Drosophila melanogaster: one gene and its partners. The protein of the gene in region 1 interacts with the protein of each later gene in a pairwise test. Each region holds a gene or a part of one and is shown on either strand. Other genes may lie near its edges. The genes, in order: ab, BtbVII and drongo.

The links.
Region 2: the proteins of ab (region 1) and BtbVII interact in a two-hybrid assay, tested with the Drosophila melanogaster proteins (one large-scale study listed by BioGRID).
Region 3: the proteins of ab (region 1) and drongo interact in a two-hybrid assay, tested with the Drosophila melanogaster proteins (one large-scale study listed by BioGRID).

The regions. Positions count from the first base shown.
Region 1 is NT_033779.5:11,208,463-11,214,489, reverse strand, and holds the start of ab (abrupt), read right to left. Parts: upstream 3,813-6,027; 5' UTR 3,743-3,812; exon of another isoform or gene 3,717-3,742; intron 2,723-3,716; 5' UTR 2,527-2,722; intron 1-2,526. UniProt on the Drosophila melanogaster protein: Expression is vital for development; may be involved in transcriptional regulation. In embryos, muscle specific expression is required for segmental nerve b (SNb) motoneuron target recognition within ventral longitudinal muscles.
Region 2 is NT_037436.4:3,146,096-3,152,144, forward strand, and holds the start of BtbVII (BTB-protein-VII), read left to right. Parts: upstream 1-2,550; 5' UTR 2,551-2,592; intron 2,593-2,604; exon of another isoform or gene 2,605-2,642; intron 2,643-2,806; exon of another isoform or gene 2,807-2,826; intron 2,827-3,037; exon of another isoform or gene 3,038-3,065; intron 3,066-3,532; 5' UTR 3,533-3,887; coding exon 3,888-4,058; intron 4,059-4,119; coding exon 4,120-4,747; coding exon of another isoform or gene 4,748-4,762; intron 4,763-4,832; coding exon 4,833-5,077; coding exon of another isoform or gene 5,078-5,089; intron 5,090-5,168; coding exon 5,169-5,277; intron 5,278-6,049. Other genes in the region: Usp5 (ubiquitin specific protease 5), read right to left, coding at 1-1,375, 1,437-1,950.
Region 3 is NT_033779.5:846,649-852,666, forward strand, and holds the start of drongo (drongo), read right to left. Parts: upstream 4,424-6,018; 5' UTR 3,421-4,423; coding exon 3,251-3,420; intron 1-3,250. Other genes in the region: CG4291 (uncharacterized protein), read right to left, coding at 4,795-5,011, 5,070-5,794, 5,851-5,923, 5,980-5,981.

The DNA of each region.
Region 1 (6,027 bases):
CATGCGAAAAAGTGAAAAGTCACTGGCCTGTCATGGGCCAGAAATCCAAATCTCATCTACCGACGGCATTTCTTTTTGGACCTCTCACACCCAAATCTCCACCCATCATTGAGTATCTCGGCATTTGGGCCACTTGGAAATCTCCTTTTTTTATGCCCTGCTCCTTTACATTTGATTGGAATTGTTGTCGTTTTGGTTGCGGGTCCTTGGCTAATGGCGACTGAGCATTTTATACCCTTTTTCGCAGGCAATAAAAACATTTTCTTTTTTGGCCACAAAATAATGAATAATATGAAGAAAAATACTTGCCGCAGCCGCGTTCGTTTTTTTTTTCCTTCTTCTGGAAAACAGAAAACGCATTAAGTGCGCGGTTTCCATTGTTTATAACATTTTTGCCACCCCAGAGAAGGAGGCAAAGGGATAATTAAGAATGCTTATTTATCTAGAACGCAGTCACGGCGCCGATTGTCCAGCTTCCTTCCACTTTTTTTTCATCTGACCGCAGGGGGGCAGAAACCCCATGAAAAGGTTCGTAAAAAGCCAAAAAACTTTTATTTTTTATGATAAATTATATGGAGTGTGGGGCAAAAGGATGCGGAGAAGACGGCGCCAACCAAAGGTCATTCGAAAACTGGGCAGGAAAAAAGTGAGAACCGAGGCTGAAGAATGATTTGAGACATAATGAAATAAAGCAGAATTTTAGAGAGAAGATGACGGCCAAAATGTACTTATATTCTGCACTTTTTCATACAATCTAAGCTAAGAGCAAAAGGTTATTGCACAGAATATAATTACAGAACTGAAGTAATGAAATAAGCTCTCAAACTCTGTGAGCAAATTTGTTAAGCTATGCGTTAAGTTTTAAAATAGTAATTATGGAATAAGAAAAATTTGTAAGCAACTAATAGGAGGTTCTTTATGCGAGTATTTGAATATGTAATGACTTTTTTGAATTCTAAATTGATTCCTGCTTACCTAATCATGCTTTAGGCCCTCAAACTAAAGTCAAAGGTCACCTGTTCTTGGACATTTACCAAACACTCGCAAGTGTTCAACCTAAAAATGGGTTTTCGGCCTGTGCCGCAGATTTTCTCCGCTAATTAGCCGGGCCGAAAGTTGGCGAGTTGAAAATTACCCAACACAAAAAAAATCTAAGAAACGGAGCTGGAGAATCGATGCCGGTGGGCAGCAGCAAAAGCAGCAGCGCACACGCAAATCACTTGTTTTTATGTAATTAACTGCTCAGCCCCCCAGAAAAGGCCATCGAAGTTTCTTCGCCGGAGGTTAACGGAGATTTGGCCGGGTAATTAACCAAAAACCGATCGCTTCTTGCCGCGTCTAAAGTCGAAGTTTTTGGCATAATTTCCAAGTCCGACGATTTGCGTTTTCGGCTTGTAAAAAAATCTCTTTCTGGTATTGGCTTCTTTTGGCCGTTCAATGACCGATAAAATTGCCTCAACCATCGCGACCAACTCGACCGACTCCATCGATGCCTTTTAGCGGGCTATTGATTATTAATATTTTCTATTTTTCCCTCTCTTTGTGTCTTTTTTCTGGTTAGTTGTTCCCAAACCCCTTTTTTTTAACCATTTGCTGTAATTACAGCGACGCGTTAATTGTTCGCCCCCTTGACCCTTTTGTTTCCCAGCATCCCCGGGTTTCCACATCTACGTATTTGTGTTTGTTTTCAACGGGCCGGTGAAAAATAAAAACAACACTCGCCCAGGCGAGGAATCTACACTTACGCGATGGTGTTTGGTGTTGGGTATCGCAGACCCCCGACTCCGAGACTAAATCCAAAAATTCAGTCGAGAGTCAGGTTCATTAGCTGCTATTACCATTATTGGCCATAACACACAACACTACCTACCTATGGGTGCCACAGCACTACTGCCTCCAAAAAAGTTGGCAATTACTGCACACGAAAATTCCCCCGAAAACGTTTTCCCTAAGTTGCAAGATTCATTTATCAAATCGCAAGAGGACACCAACTATTCGGGTCTGTCTTCAAGAGCAGCAGACCAATCAAGAAAGCGTGTAACACCAAAAAATACATAATTTTCTTAGATTCACACATTTTGGCCAACTAGTTTAAAGACAATTCCAAATGCTGACGCCTTTTGTGAGCCCGATTTTGTAAGCCATTAACTTCGGTTTACGATCACTGAGAGAGATCGCAAACAAAGATCGCGGTCATAAAACATTTGTTAACCTAATTCAATTTATGTAAAACAAAATCATGACATATAAAGTTATAAAAGTCTAGGGAAGCGAGAAAGTTCTATTTTACTACGATTTTAATGTGATCTAGTTAAACAGCTTAAACGATTTGATTCTCGTTTGGTTTCGTTTCCAGAATATTAGTTACATTAAATTTAAGTAAATCAATAACTTAAAATTCATATACTGTCAGAAAACAAACATTGGAACTAACCCCAAAGACTTCAACGATCAAATTCCCTGTTAAAAAGTTGCCATCCAAGCAGATTCGTACATACATTTCCAAGAATCAGTTTTAAAACTTACCGTTTGCACTGTTGATTTCTTAATCTTCTTTTTGAAAATTCACGATGATTGCTGAATTTGTTGTTGTGATGCCACAATTGTAAAATTTGAACACTTTTGAAACACTGAGGGTTATTTTCTTTGGGTATTTCCCTTTATGAATTTGTTTTCTTTAAAGCCGATTTTGAATTTAGTTTGATTTTTCAACACTGCACAACTGCAATCACAATAAGAACAAAATGAATGAGAATCGCTGGCAAATCAGAGAGCATTTTCCTGGGTTTTCCGAGAAGCGGAAAACAAACGAAACGAAGTAGAAGAAAAACGCCACAAGAATAAGAAGAAGACGAAGAAGCCGTCGCGCTGCACTTGCGATTTTTGTTGTTTTTGTTTTTTGTTTCGTGCGCTCTTTTTCGCAGCGAGTTTCGTGTTCTGGTTTTATTTTCTCTGATTCTGATTGCGATTGTGAATCTGGTTCTGTGTGAATTTCGTTTTTATTAATAAAATGCACAACTTCCGTTATTAATTTTGCAACGACAACAATTGCTGCGTGTGTGTGTGTGTGTGAGTGTTTGTGTGTTTGTTTGCGGATTTGTGACAGCCGCTGACAGGCGAAAAGCAAAAGCAACAAAGTGACAAGCATGAGCGTGTGTCGCCTAGGAGGAAAAGCGGAAAAGCAAACCGAAAAATAATAACAACAAAAAGTGGGCGACAAACGGGCGGTGGGCGGCAATCGAACGGTACAACCTGTCCGCTTTTTTACAACCGCCCCCACTTCCCCCGTTTTCTTCAACGATTTCGCTCCTGTGCACGCGACTCGCGCTATCTCGCTCTTTTGTTGCGGTTTTTTTTCTGCCTGTTAGCTGCATTCATTCATAAAAATCGGGTTGTAAAAAAAGAACAGCGGCAGCAGAAAAAAACGTCGCTGATTTTATTTATTTATGCCAATTTGCCGACGCGTCGCCGCTGCAGTTCTTGTTGTTTATAGTTTCGCACTAGGAACGGAAGTTTCTTGGATTTATTTCGAAAACAGTTAACAGCACCAAGTTTATTCGTTCCAATTCGGGTTTATATGCATTTTAATAGTTTTTCGTTTTTAATTTATTTTTATTTTATATTACAGTTCTTTGTTTTCTTTAGTTATGTTATGGTTTGTATTTATTTAGTTGAGAAGTTCAAATTCAGTTGTCTCTGTGTTTCTGATAGTTTACTAAGCCATCAAAACACTGAAAATCACATATAAGCCAAATTAGCCGCACTTGAACCACGACACTTGCTGCCCGTCTGATTTCTGAAATTGTACTGCGCGTAATAAGAATTCCTGTTTTCGTAAGCGGTAAGTAAAATCCGACGCACTCTTCGTCGGCTCCACGTTCGATGTTCGAAGTTCGACGTTCGATGCTCGTCGTTTGACGTTCGACGGCGAACATGTTGCATGCAGCGCGTCGGTGGTTTCTCACTCGTTTTTTTTTAGCCCCATCCTCCTCCAACTGGCCAACACACTCACAGACACACACACACACACACACACTGGCGCACAAGGGGGCTATTATCTAAGCCATACAATCAGATTGTGTTTACTTTTCCAACCGGGCAAAGTGGCAAGGTGAAGACTGCAGAGAGCCCGAGAAGAAAGAAAGACGGACGGCCGACCAATTGAATTGCAGAATTGCCAGCGCTTTCTTGGCCAAAAGTTTTCGGTAGAAGAGAGCAGCCCGAGTTTTTGATTCATTGGGTGTTAAGTGCGATAAAATGTGCGCTCTCTGATAAATTATAGTTTCCATAAATAAAGTAGCATTTCATCGAATTAAGTTATTTCTCAGTCTGAAAAGGAAATGTAAAATGTAAGTTTAAGTACAAAAATAAATATAAAAATGAACTAACCCTAATTTTTGAATTAAAATATACTTTAATTTACTTTAACTTTACTTACAAAAATGTGGACCAAATAAGAAAACAAACTAAGACACAAGCATAACTTTAGTCATTGGAATGCACTGTAGTTGTGAGACGGATTTCAATAAATCATTTGACCTTATTTGAAATTGTAATTAAAATGACGCAGCTAAGGAAAAACGTTCAAATGTGCAAATTACTAAATTTTCTAAACGGATGTCTAAACGAATGAATGTACACAGATATTTGTCCAATAATAGTGTAATTTAACAATAAGGCTAAAGATACATGAATATACTTAATATGATGTATTTTCCCTAACCATACTTTCCTTAGATATGCGGAGCTTTATGGTAGAATAATAATTCAAAAAAAGGAAGACAGTTCCGTGGAGAACTGGAACCGCACCTTAATCTTGCCCTCCTCCGATTTCTCGCAGTAGCCGCCCCTGCAGGAAGTCATTAAGCTGCCTGAGGCTGGAATAAATAAAGTTTGTCTCCCACTTCGGCAGACGCTAAAGCTATGAGGTGCCACCCCTCGGCAGATGCAACTTTATTAAAGTCGACAAAAACAAAATAAATTTACGTGTAAAAACACTCCAAATGGCAGAACACCGAAATTGTCGCCGCACCACCAAACATCCCAACGATCCACAAATGCACAGAGTTTCGGATGCAACGATCTGTAGATGCAGCTACAGCTTCCCAAAAAGGGAGCGCAAGTTGGTGGCATGCGGCAGCTAATGTATCTAATAGATACACGACAGCACGTCAAGCGCTTCCATTGGAGCGAGGTATGAAATTGGTTGGGCGGAGGAAAGTTCCATACCCAAACTCAATGGGTATATAATCTTGCACTATAAGAAAGAATCTAGAAAATTTTTCAATGTTTAAGAATTCTTCTGCAATTCTGTGTTAACTACTCATAATATATCTTGTTAATTGTTATATATAGCTAACAATTCTTGCCTTTTAGGATATCAAAATGTATTTCATAATTAAAAGATTTCCACTACTTTATCTCAGTGTAGCGGGGCTGAATTTCTCATTCTTCGCTTCACTTCGCTCCACCTTAGTTTTATGTTTGGCCCCACCTCCGCTGCATTCTCTTCGCTTCTCGTGCTTCTCTAATTAACATTGGGATTGTAGTACGCTTTTAATTTATATCTTATTGATGCCGGCGACATTTGTATTTATTTTTACCCACAAGCACCCCCCCCCCCCTCCACTCTTCCAGGGGCAAGAATGGGTGGTGGTGGTGTGTAGGTACTGTCCAAAATTCACTTCCCAAATCTGTTTCTTCACCGCCCCACCGCATCCCATCTAGTTGTGTGTGTACGTGTGGAATGTTATTTTTATCGAGAGTGAGTGAAAAAATTGTGGAAACCTAAAATTTATATGGAATAGGTGTCGCCGCGTCTTTATATTTTGGGTATAATTATTGTTAATATTTGTTGCTGCCTCCGCCCCTGACAGCCCCCCGCTCGTTCACTTCTTCTCTGCTCGTCTCTTTTTCCTTTGTTGTTGTTATTTTTTATCTATACTCTAATTAAAATATTCGGATGTATGCGCTTAATATATGTCTGTGCTCATATATGTATATATATAAATATAAGCATGTACATAT
Region 2 (6,049 bases), on another chromosome or scaffold:
TCAAATGCAAACTTCACCTCCTCTGTGGCGGGCTCGGGAAGAGCCTCCTCACCAGGCTGCAAGCCACCAGCGGAGCGCCAGTTACTTAGATCCAGTTCATCGGGCATGTCTACGGAAACGTCCAGTTTCTTGGGCACCCAGTCGTCGCCCAGCGTGAACTTTCCCACGTGAATCATCAGGCAGTCGGGCATGGTGGCCAATCGCGTAATTTTCCTGGCATTCGTCTTGGACCCGATGGCAGTGGAGTAGAATTGCTCGATCAGCTCCGGGCCGAAAAACCTTTCCAGGCATGCCTGTAGAGGCACCTTGTGCCTCACGATGTCGCGATCCGGAAGCCGTTGTCCGGTCTCGCGGGCCGCCTTCTTACGCTCCTGGAACTCCCGCACCTCATCCAGATTGGTGGCCTTGTCCAACGGAACAGGCAGACGGAAGCTGTATTCCTCGCGGGTATTGTACTTCACCTTGTGGCTGGCCAGACACTCAACGCGATCCTCCAGCAGGAACTTTAGAGCATCTGCGGGATTTGTTTGGTTCCGCGAATTCCTGTCCAGCAGGGTGAGCAAATGCAGATAGAAATCGTTGGCATCTTGCTGCTGTTTGGTGCTGAAATCTGGGTGATTCTTGCCCACAATGTTCTTAAACATGGCCGGCGATATTCCGGTGCTGTGATCGGTGTCCAAAGTGTTCTCGGCAATACTGCTGTACTTTCCCGACTGCAGACCAGTTCCCAGCTTGGCCATTTGAATATTGAAGTCGTTGGCCGGGTCGCTGGGAAACTCTTTGAAATAGCGTTCCGCTCCAGTGCCCACGAACCGCTGCTGGAAGTCTGGGATGACGAAGAGCACTTGCATCACGCTGTTTATGTAGCAGGAGTTGCCCAGATTGCGCATGCCAGTGTATCCAGGACCAGCAACAGGCTGCAGCTCACTTTCGCTCTCCGTAAGCGCCGTCCACTCGCCGATGCGCTGGTTAATGTCCAACTCTAGCTCCACCATCGACTTCTCGCTCTTCTTCATCGCCGCCATGTTGATGCCAAAGTGGGAGAGATGGCGCTCTAAGTGTGGATCGAGTACCATTTCATCCTCCGGGTAGGAGAACACATCCGACTTGCCATCAGCGGTGATGGTGCCCAGTTTCACCGCCAGCGGGAAACCCGTTACTCTGTAGTGCTCCACGGCGTGATCGTTGCCGCCACTGCCGTCAAAGAACTTGCGTCCGCACATGATCGAACCATCGGTCAGATTAAGCCAGAGGTTGTTGGTCAAGTCGCACTTCTCGCACTGCCAGCCGGATGGGGGAATCCTCTTGCCATTATCCAGCTGCTGCAGGTTATCTGCGTACTTCGACGCCTGACGCACTTCACCATCCCAGGTGCCTGAAAAATTATTGATTTTAGGCTACCTTCGTCAGCATGGGATAACAATCCTGCAACTCACCCATCAGCGTGGCCTTCTCCAACTTGGCAATTGCCGAGTCGGCGGCCAGGATCGCTTCCACCGACTGGGTGACACGCATGGGCAGCTCTGGATCCGGATAGGGCAGCTTCTTATCCAGGTGCGGAGCCACCACGATGCTGTACGTGTCCTTGATCTCGTACTTCTTGGCCATGTCCGACTCGTTGTAGCCGCCCTCGACGCCAATGGCCAGGCGGGTGATCTTCCGTTCCGGTCCTGCCTCCGACTCCGCGCATTCGGCCTCCATGTCGGCGCCCTCCTTGATCGTCTTCACCCGCTGGATGTGGAGGAAGACCCGGTTGCCGGTCTTGTCGGCATACTCCCGCACATACGCCTCGCCGAAGCCCAAAAAGCTGTGCAGGCACACGTACAAACCGGTGGGCGTCTCGGGATTGTCATAGGAGTAGACGCACTCGTCCTTGTAGATGGGAGGACTGCCCGCCCCGGATGCGCATGGCACGTTCACCTTGGATAAATGCTTGCGTAGTTCCTCCATAACGGTATCTGGAATCCTGTAGGCAGCTCTTTTCTCATAAACTTTACGGACCGAATGTAAAATAGTATAGTTGATTTTTTTTGCAGCTGCTGCTTAGAGATGAACATGGGAAAATGCATCGATACCGGCGAGCATGGATATGCGAATATCGATGGGTTGAAATGGTGTTTTACTGGTTGAAATCAGCTTTTAACAATTCTTACCCTTATTTTTGTACCTTATAACGGCTTTTGAGTGATATTTACGTATTTGGCCGCCCAATAAGCACAATTAGTTTAATTTGACTGCTGCAGGCTATCGTTGTTTATTCAATACTGTCATCTCTAGCCAAAGCCAACAACAAATTCGCGAGTCACCAAGGGAACCGAACTGGTTCCGTTAAGTACGAACAATGCGGGGAAAGTGTGGCAACGCCGATTGTGATTCATCAGATGTATAACCGAAGTCAACATTTTAAAACAACAATTCAAATGTTAACCATTTAAATACAATAAACAAATTATTTTAAAATTTGGGACAATCTTTAACAATTGGGATACTAGTTTTGATCTAGGACTGGTCACACTATTAAGCGACCTGTCAACTCGTTGTATACAAAGTTGCCATATAGTCACAAAAATCTTTCGCATAAAGAAGTAAAACGTAAGAATTTTCATATGCGTTTTTCGCCAGGAAATCCGCATTAAAATAATGTAAAAAGTGGTAAAAAAGTTGGCGCAAAGAGTGAGCCAGTCAAAGGCATTGAAATTCAGCTCGCTCTAACAGTTTTCGGCGTTGTTTTGCCCCTCGCATAAATTTGTTGCGCGCCATTTTGTTTTTGGAAAGCAAAAGAAAAAGAAGAAATACAACAGCAAAAACCTACCACAAAAAGTCAAAGTTTGTAAAAGCGATAAAAAGCAAGAGGAAAAGGAATTCTGTGGGGGGAAAAGCGAGTGAATAACATGTGGCGGCTTGGCTAGTTCGAGCATCATCTTTGTGCCTCTAAAAGACATACGAAAATAACGCGCGACATGCACATAAATAAATACGACTGAAACACTGAAAACTGAAAATATCGATACGATGAATAAACGAAGAAGCAGCGATTAGTACGTCGTCGGCGGTCGTCTGTGTGGGTGAGAGAGTGAGGAAGACGGGAATGGGGAAGGCGATTAAGTGCGAAAGAGATGGAGGAGCGCGGGGCGCGTATATAATTACGTCATAAGAATTAAAGAAAATTCAAGGTCTACAGCACTGCGGCTATACAAAAAGCTATACGATTTCGTTACGTTCTCGGTTTTATCAAAAATAAAACTTTGGCCAGTGAGCAGCAACAACAACAAGTATGGCTGTTGTGTTCCAGTGTGTGTGTGTGTTGTGTTTCATTTTCGCGACTGTATAATTACATACACACGCAGTCCCGCCGATGTTGTTGTTTCTGTTTGATTTTTTATTGTAAGCGAGAAGAGCGCGCAGCTGTGAAAAGCAGATGAGAGAGAGAGAGGAAGAAAGCGAGAGAGTGGAATTTGTTGTTGAGCAATTTGTGTAACCATCGATAATGTTTGATTTATTTAAACCCCATTTTTATTACCCCTTTTTGCAGTGACTCGCGATGCGTGCGGCATAGAAGTCGTCGCCCCCCAAAAAACCGTGATCCCGACCCCCCACACGCACACACACATGTACAGACTGCGATTGTTCATAAATTTAAATTGATTAAAAGTCGGAGCGAAAAAGTAAAGCGAACAAAACACCGGAAAGCAAGGAAAATTAATAAAAATCAATAGAGGCGAGCGGGAGGCGATAAAAAGTGTTATCAGTGCGAATTAATTGGCTACGAAGAAGGAAAGAAGCAGGAGGCGGAGGAGCGGGAGCAGGAGGAGGAGGTTGCTCCGGAGATTGAGGTTTAGGGAGCTCCAAATCCGCATCCCGGACGCGGATCCGGACCCCTCGACATCATGTCCGTGCAGCAGTTCTGCCTGCGGTGGAACAACCACCAGCCGAACTTCATCTCCGTGTGCTCCTCGCTGCTGCACAATGGCACCCTGGTGGACGTCACCCTGGCAGCCGAGGGTCGCCAACTACAGGCCCACAAAATAGTGCTATCCGCCTGCAGCTCGTACTTTCAGGTAAGTTGGAGATCGCCGCAGCGTATATCCCTTACGAATTACACTCAAATGTGTTCGACAGGCTTTGTTCACCACAAATCCGTGCCAACATCCCATTGTCATCCTGAAGGACGTGCAGTACGATGACCTAAAGACCATGGTGGACTTTATGTACTACGGCGAGGTAAATGTGTCGCAGGAGCAGCTGCCGCACATCCTCAAGACCGCCGAGATGCTCAAGATCAAAGGCCTAGCGGAGATGCCAACGGATCCGGCCAATCTTACCAAGTCGGATAGCAAGTCCTCCACCGACGGCACCGAGATGGTGGGCGGTGCGGGAGTGGGCACTGGAGCGGGCAACTCGGCTGGCAGCCTGGGAGCCGGCAGTGGAAGCAGCGTCGGCGACTCCCTGTGGAGCAGCAGCGAGGCCCAACAGTTCCAGCAGCAGCAGCAACAGCAGGCCCAGCAACAGGCACAGCAGCAGCACCATCACCACCAGCAGCAGCAGCAGTTGCAGCAGCAACAACAACAGGCGCAGCAGCAGCAACAACAGCAGCAGCACCATCACCACCACCATCAGCAGCAGCAGAGCGGACAGGCGCAGGCGGCGCAGACGCATCACCACCAGATGCGACGTACGCCGTCGCCTTTGAGCGCTGGAACCTCGCCGGCCACCAGGCGCAAGCGCTTGCGCAAATCCTCGAATAACGGTGAGTTGGAGTTGGGTAAAGCATCGTCGTGATAGATCCAAAATTGTAAGGTCTCAAAAAATAACCGGTTTTCGTAATAACGCAGGTTCTGGCGATCGCAACAACGCGGAGGAGCAGCACAACAGCTCACTGGACGCGGGCAGTGGTGCCGGCAACGCCGGTCTCAGTCTCGCCCAGATGAACCAGATGACATTTGGTGCGGGCGGCGGCTTGGCCGGCCACTCACTGCACGCGGCTAAGCTGCTCAAGGAGTCGGCCAGCGCTGAGCTAGAGCAGCAGCCGCAGGACTCGGATCTTGACGATGGACACGGACACTTACACATGCAAATTGTAATGAAATTGGTCACGTTAACCTTGTACCCTCGTCCGCATGAGCAAAGTCACTAATTGTTTTCTTTTTCTTCTCGGTGCCCACGTGCAGAAGCCCGAAGTCGACATTGGCGGCGTGAACCAAACGATGCCCTTGGACATCTCCGGCGGTACCACACCATCCGAGCACGATGCGCCGAACTCCCAGTCCTCGCACTCGGGTAAGTCGCAATTGGAAATCAAAAGCCAGCACACTGTTCCATCAAAGCTCATTGTTCATCGGGTAGGGATCTCATTCGCCAGGTTGGATTCTTTTTTTTTATCGTTTCTTAGTTTTGTTTGCCTTGATTACTTTAAAAAACACAAATCACGGACAACTTAACTGCAATTCGTAGTCAAAAGAAAGCTGACACACTATAGACTAAGCAGGAGTCAAGAGGGAAAACGTGTATAGATCAGAAATGACTTGACTTTTTTGAAACGAGCATGACTGAAAGAACATAGCTTTACAATGTTGGTATCATTTGCGAACTGACTAGGGGTTCACTGAACTGATAAGCACTGTCACCTATGTTCTCTTAAGCAAATCAATGTGAAATCTGAACCACTGTGTACTCTCGATTCATCGAAATAATGCCCACAATCATACTTCATCTGCATATCTCACACACGAACGGTGCCATTTCGAAACAATTTCAGTACACAGCGCTTGGAGAAATGAATGCTAAAGCTAAATATGAGATCTAGTATACCGATTATTCATTACTGATTTACCGACTAAGTGCAACGAAATAATTGTGAAATGCCGAAATTTTCTATGTTTAACTATTATTGTGTATTGTATTCCAAAAAACCGAATCCTGCCTGAACTTGGGAATGGGAGAGAGCTAGCACAAAGTCCAAAACAAAAACTAAAACTTCCAAAAACTAAATCTATGATTTGTTTTTCAATTGTTCATTCTCGATTTGCGTTTACTTGCGTTTTTTTGATTT
Region 3 (6,018 bases), about 10 Mb from region 1:
CCCTTCCCCCAACCCCGCCCCCCATGGTCCTCTTTTCGGGGCTGTCAAATGCAGACATGTTTATGCTGTTTCATAATCGGAAATTAACATACGAGCCGCAGAACGGGCCAAATAAGAAATAAAAAAAACGAGAGAGCGAAAGACGTGCTCCGAGCTTTTGTGGGCTCCACTCGAAGGCAGTTGGCCCAGTTCGACTGCAACTGCAATGCCAACGCGATGGGCATGGGGAATCGGGGATTCGGAAAGCGGGTGGGGTCTGCTCCACAGTTCACTTGCCCGTATGTACAAATGTACCTACAATACGACTTAATGGTTTTGAAAATTCAAATATGAAAGGTTTTTGATACCCCCTCTTGGTTTGGTAACAAATTGATATCAGAGATAGGAAGTTTGGTACTTTTAGAAGCATCAGATCAGTTTATCTAATAATTTCATATTATATATCAACTAATATGCCATATATGCCATATATATGTATTTTATGTGTGCTATAGCATGACTACAGTCATCGACTCCCAGACAGATAGAATCGCACAAACAACCAACGAATGACTGCAAACATACAATCGTGACCACAGAAATAGCTCAGCCGGGAAGATTGATAAAATATTTTAAATAAAAGTTTAAAAACATAATAAAAATGACTCAAACACTCCAAAACGAAGTCCAGGAAATCGCACATAATAAACTTGTTTTGAAAGATTAAGCGTATAAAAACACTTGTATATGTAATCAGTTTAGAAAAAATCACAGTTGACACAAGGAAAACAAATTACGGCATTTGATGGTAAAATTGTATTAAATAAAGTAAGCATTATGAAAGATGCTTACTAGAAGAAGTAAATCTATCTGAAATTTAAAGCAGAAATATAAGCACCTCCAATGTATAGCTAAACATTTTCACATCTAGCAATGGGTATTTCCATTTTTCGCCTGAACTCGCACTGATTCACATCCCCAAGTTATTTAATAATTGAATAATGCACTATTAAGCCGGCAACTTCGTATTCAAATGACCATTGCTGTGTGTAGTTAGTGTGTTGTGTGCGGTGGGAATGATGACGAAGCCTGAGAAAGTGGCTCACCATTGCTGCTCCGCTCTGCTCTGCTCAGCTCTGCTCCCAATGGCCGTTTGCTTTCGCCTTATCTAATCAACAAGTTTCTTGACTTTTATGAGCCAGCACAAGCTTTGAACCCTGCAAAAGCCAAAGAGTAAAATAAAACAAAAACAAAAAAAAAACAAAGCAACCGAAATGCGGTGTGGCAGCAGATGGCGGCGACTGCTGCTTGATTGAGGTGCAACAATTTGTCTGCAATTGGAGGCGCAACAGCAGCAGCAACTTCGGCCCAAAAATACAACCGAGTGTGGCTGGCAAAAGCCGTCGGACGGGTTTTCCTCCCCGCGCCACCGCGGACATTCCCATTCTGAAACCCACTACCATTGCCAGTTCCATTCTCATTCCTGAACCGCTTCCTCCATTAAGCGCTCCAAGTGACCGGCCGGTCTGCAGCGGATTCCAATATCCAAAGGCGGGCCGAACATGCACAGCCATTTCTTCGTGAGTCGGAGGAGTTGGTTTCATTTGGTATTCCCTGCACTCGCTCCCTTGTCGCAGTCGACGTTCCAGTCTCATTTTCAGCCAGGAAGTTCGTTGTCGCCTGCTGTCGCCCCTGCCACGCCCCCTTCCTCGGCCGAGTCCCCCATTTGCTGCAGTACCTTTCCACACCCCTTTTTGGCTACACCGGCAGAAACGTGGCACGTCGTTAGACTAGTAACTGAAAAACCGCAGAAGTATCCGACTAACAGGACCAATTGTTTGTTACAATTAACCATTAACCCTTTCTCGCAGTGCAATCGCTTGGTGTCCCCGGCATTTATGTGGCTTTTCATTTACATGCCAACATTTGTTTCCCTTGGCAGTTGGCAACAAGGTTTGAGGACTAAGGATTGAGGATTGAGCACCGCACACCGAAGACTGAGGAATGGGCAATGAGTCATCGAAACAAGAGTTGGGGACTGCAGAGTGCAGCAGGGCGAACGCATTGCAGTTGGCTACTTTTCAACCTGGTTCCGATGATAGAGATAACTCAGCGGAGAAACCCGCATGCTGTCCAATTGAGAGGCCACAATCTGGGGCACACGAATCGTGGGAGACTGGGCTTCTGGACCTGGGCCAAGCGGAAGTTTAAGAGCAATCATGTAATGTGCTTGATCCGGAAATGCGTAAATCAAATGAAATGCAGTGTCGGCGGAGTGGTAATACATATATGACCCCAATTTGGCCATAGTGCTCACAAATCAAAGCCAATTTGCCAAATTACTTAGAGGGGCAAAAATAAAAAATAAACTGAGGGGCGCCAAGGACACCCACAACTCAACCGCCAGGTGGGCGGCTCTCGAAAACGTCTCCCCACGGAAAAACACGAATAGAAAGCGACGCCGGCGAAGACAAAACAATTTCGTTCGCCGCGATGTCGCGCAATTGAAAGTTTTGTCTTCGATTTGCATTTGCATTCAAAAAGGAAAGGAAGCCAAATTGTGCGAAATTGTTCGAAATTGTTGGGGAATTGCTTTCGCTTTCACACACAATACGAAATAATAATGGGGGGCGGGATCGGACATTGCATCGATCGATCGCAAATTATCGGTCACTCCACTCGGGCACAGATCCCAAATGGACGTCAGGCGAGTTCAAATTGGCTGGGTTCAAGTCAAGATAACACGGGAGACCAAGAAAGGTCCACGGATCGACGTTGATAGCTCTCAATTTGCATTTCTATTTTTGGAAACACTCAAGGCAATATTTTATATGACTCCTAAACGCAGTGGGGGTAGCCCATTTGGCAGTTATCAGAATATGTATATAGGTAGCCAGCTTTTTGATAAAAAACATGTGTGAATTCAACCAAAAGCCATTCAAGAAAGCCATAACCATAAATGTCGTATATCTGGATTCTTCTTGTGGAAGATTTTAAGAGATTTGTCAGTTCATAACCCACCATCCTTATTCTACAAATCTCAAGCTAGATCAATCTGTGCATCGGAAATTGTTTGAAATATTTTCCAGAGGTATCTTGAATACCTGGTAAACTCAAAGAGACAACCAAAGAAATAACTAAAATATGAATAGCCAAGTTACAGTTACATTCTCATAACAAAGGTCACCTAGCAGGCGACTTATGCCTAATTCCTGGATCTACCCTACATTATCCCAGACTAGAAAACAACAACAAGAAGGCAAATACTTACAGGACTCCGGAGCAGCGGGTGCAGACAAAGGATCCGATGGTCATGTTCACGTAGGTTGGTCCTTTTTGGCCGCAGTCGAAGCACTGCCGATTGCTCCCCGTCCCGCTGGCCACTAGTTCCCGCAGGGCGAGCAGGTACTTGTCGTCCTGTTTCTTGCGCACCACCGCCATTGTCGCCGTCTCTGTCGCTCCCTTGGCCGCCGCCCTTTGTACCGCTTCCGGTACTACTGACGTCGACGTTGTCGTTGTTGTTGCTCCTGCTGCTGCGATGAGCGGCCTGACGGAGGGTCCGCTACCTGCGCGCTCCTCCTCGGATTCCTCCGCTTCCGCTTCGTGGCTCTGAGCCCGATCCTCGTCGGATCCAGCTAGCTGCTCGGTGTCCGAGGGCAGCCGCTCCTCGGGGGGCGGGAGTGGGTGGTGGTGGGTGGACCGCTCGGCCGCGTAGGGCGCAAAGGGGGCGACGGCGGTGCGGTAGGAGGAGGCGGCGTGGGGCGCGGAGCTGTTGTAAGCGTACACGAACTGAATCTTGCCTGATTTTTTGAATTCTTTCGGGAATTGGTATCGTTTACTTTCTGCTCCAAATTGACGTAAATTTCCGCTGTTATCGTTTTTTGCCTATCGTAATGGCTGGCTATCAGGATCGTTTAGGGAATCAAAAATTTTTATCGGGAATGCGAAACTGACGTAATTCCCCTTCCCCTCTTCTAAGCTTTCCTTTCCTTTTCTTTACGCAATTTTTGGCTTGACCTTTCCTCTCCTTCGACGCACACTCACACACTCACTTTGACACTCACACTGACAGGTGTGTGTGTGCGGTGCGATTTATCGAAAACCACTTTTCCGATTGCCCGTGTTATTGTTTACTTTTCACTTCTTCGACTCGCAGAATTTCGCTTCAATTCAATCTATTTACACCGAGTGCCGCTGCAATTGCCACACAGATTTCAGATTTCAATTGAAATTTCGACGCTGCGAATGCACTCGCCACTTTTGCTGCTTCCCCTTCTCCTTGTTTGTTTGCAGTGCGGATTCGAAGACGAGTGGAAAACGAACAGCGAAACGAAACGGAACGAAACCAAACAGCACAGCGCACTCGAAACAAAATAGCGCGACTCGACTCAACACAATTCCGACGCAAATTCCGACCGCTCGCCTACAACAACAGCAGCAGAGTGACCGTTGGCGGACGGGAGAAACATACCTCGTGTTGCCGCTGGAAATGCACTAAAATTGGACGGAGCTCTAAGACCTAAATATGCCGCAACTAAAGCACAGACACACACCGATTGAACCTAATTCGATAACTGTTATCGAAATTTAAAACTTTTTAAAAAACATATTACTATTTAAAATGTTGGGAAATATTTATTGAATGCAAGTCGACTAAAGATAATAATAATTCTACAATAGCTATGTTTAATCTAATATTAGTTAAACGCATCTCACTTTTTAATTGGTATAAGCAAACACTTAAAAACCTAAACATTTCCTATGCCTAAACCTAACTAGTAGGTGAAATATGCACATAAGCACATGGAGTACTTCTTAATCCTCGGCGCGCTGGCGGCTGTTTCCCTTCCTGATGAATTTCCGCTTGAACGTGGCGGGCGCAGTGGCGGCTATCTCCTCATCCAGACCGCCAATCGTCTTTTCCTTGAACTTCTTGACTGGAGGTTCTGGTTCACTCGAGGCGGAAACCACGGGCGCAGCACTGTAGTAATCCGTTTTGGGTAGCTGCCAGTCGATGGGCTGCTCAGGTGCTCTACAAAAATCCATAAATTTATCAGTAAATGCATTTGAACCTAGTAGGAAGGCCCTACTTCACTTCCACAGTTTGCCACTGTCCAATCTCTTTGGTGGCCGCCTCTTCCTCCGTTTTGAATGTCTGACGCCTCTCCTCCTTCTGCTTCTTTTCCTTGGGATTGTCCGTCCTGCGGAAGGCTTTCATCTTCTCTCGGTTCACCCTCGCCACTTCCTCGTCGACATTGGCGCGGAATTTCAGCGATTCCTCGGCCTGGGAGATCTGCTGCTGGTCGATGGCCAGCTGGTTGATGCGCTCGTACTCCTCGTAGGACAGATAGCCCTCTTTCGGCGGCTTCCACACGGATTCATTGGTCTTCACGTTCCAATAGTAGGTGTGTCCCTCGTCCGACTTGCCCTCCACCCAGAGGGATGCCTCGGGCACGGCTGCGTCGCTTGTTACCTTGCCGGGAGCCACCCGCCTCTGGTCTTCTTCTTCGTCGGACAATCCTTCCAGGCGCATGGGGTCCACTTGGCGTGATCTTCCGGCGAAGGAGTGAGCTCCGCCTGAGGCGGCAGCAGTGGCGGTGGCCCTCATTACCGTGTTAATGGACCTGGCGGTCATGTCACCGCGCGAATGGACATCCTGTGCGTACGACTTCATGGCCGCCTCCTCCATCTTGCGGATCTCCGCGTCCATTTTCTGGCGCTCCCGCTCCGATTTCTCGCTGTTGCGACTGATGTCCGTGATCCGCTTGGCCACATTCATCTTGTGCCGCTTGCCACTCTCGTGGAAGGCGACGCTCTGCGGGATTAGGGGTCATTAGAGTGCCGAAAAGCGAGTTTATTCTATGGACTCACCGCCTTGTTGTCGCTCAGCCAGCATTTGCAGAAGTCGCAGAACTTGCGCTCGTTTGATTTCCAGTACTCCGTCCTGTTGGAATCGAGAGTTAGCTATGGCAAAGCCGGAGGATAATAACGCAGACTTACATGATGATTTCTCAGCTTAATTGTTTCGAATACAAGTAA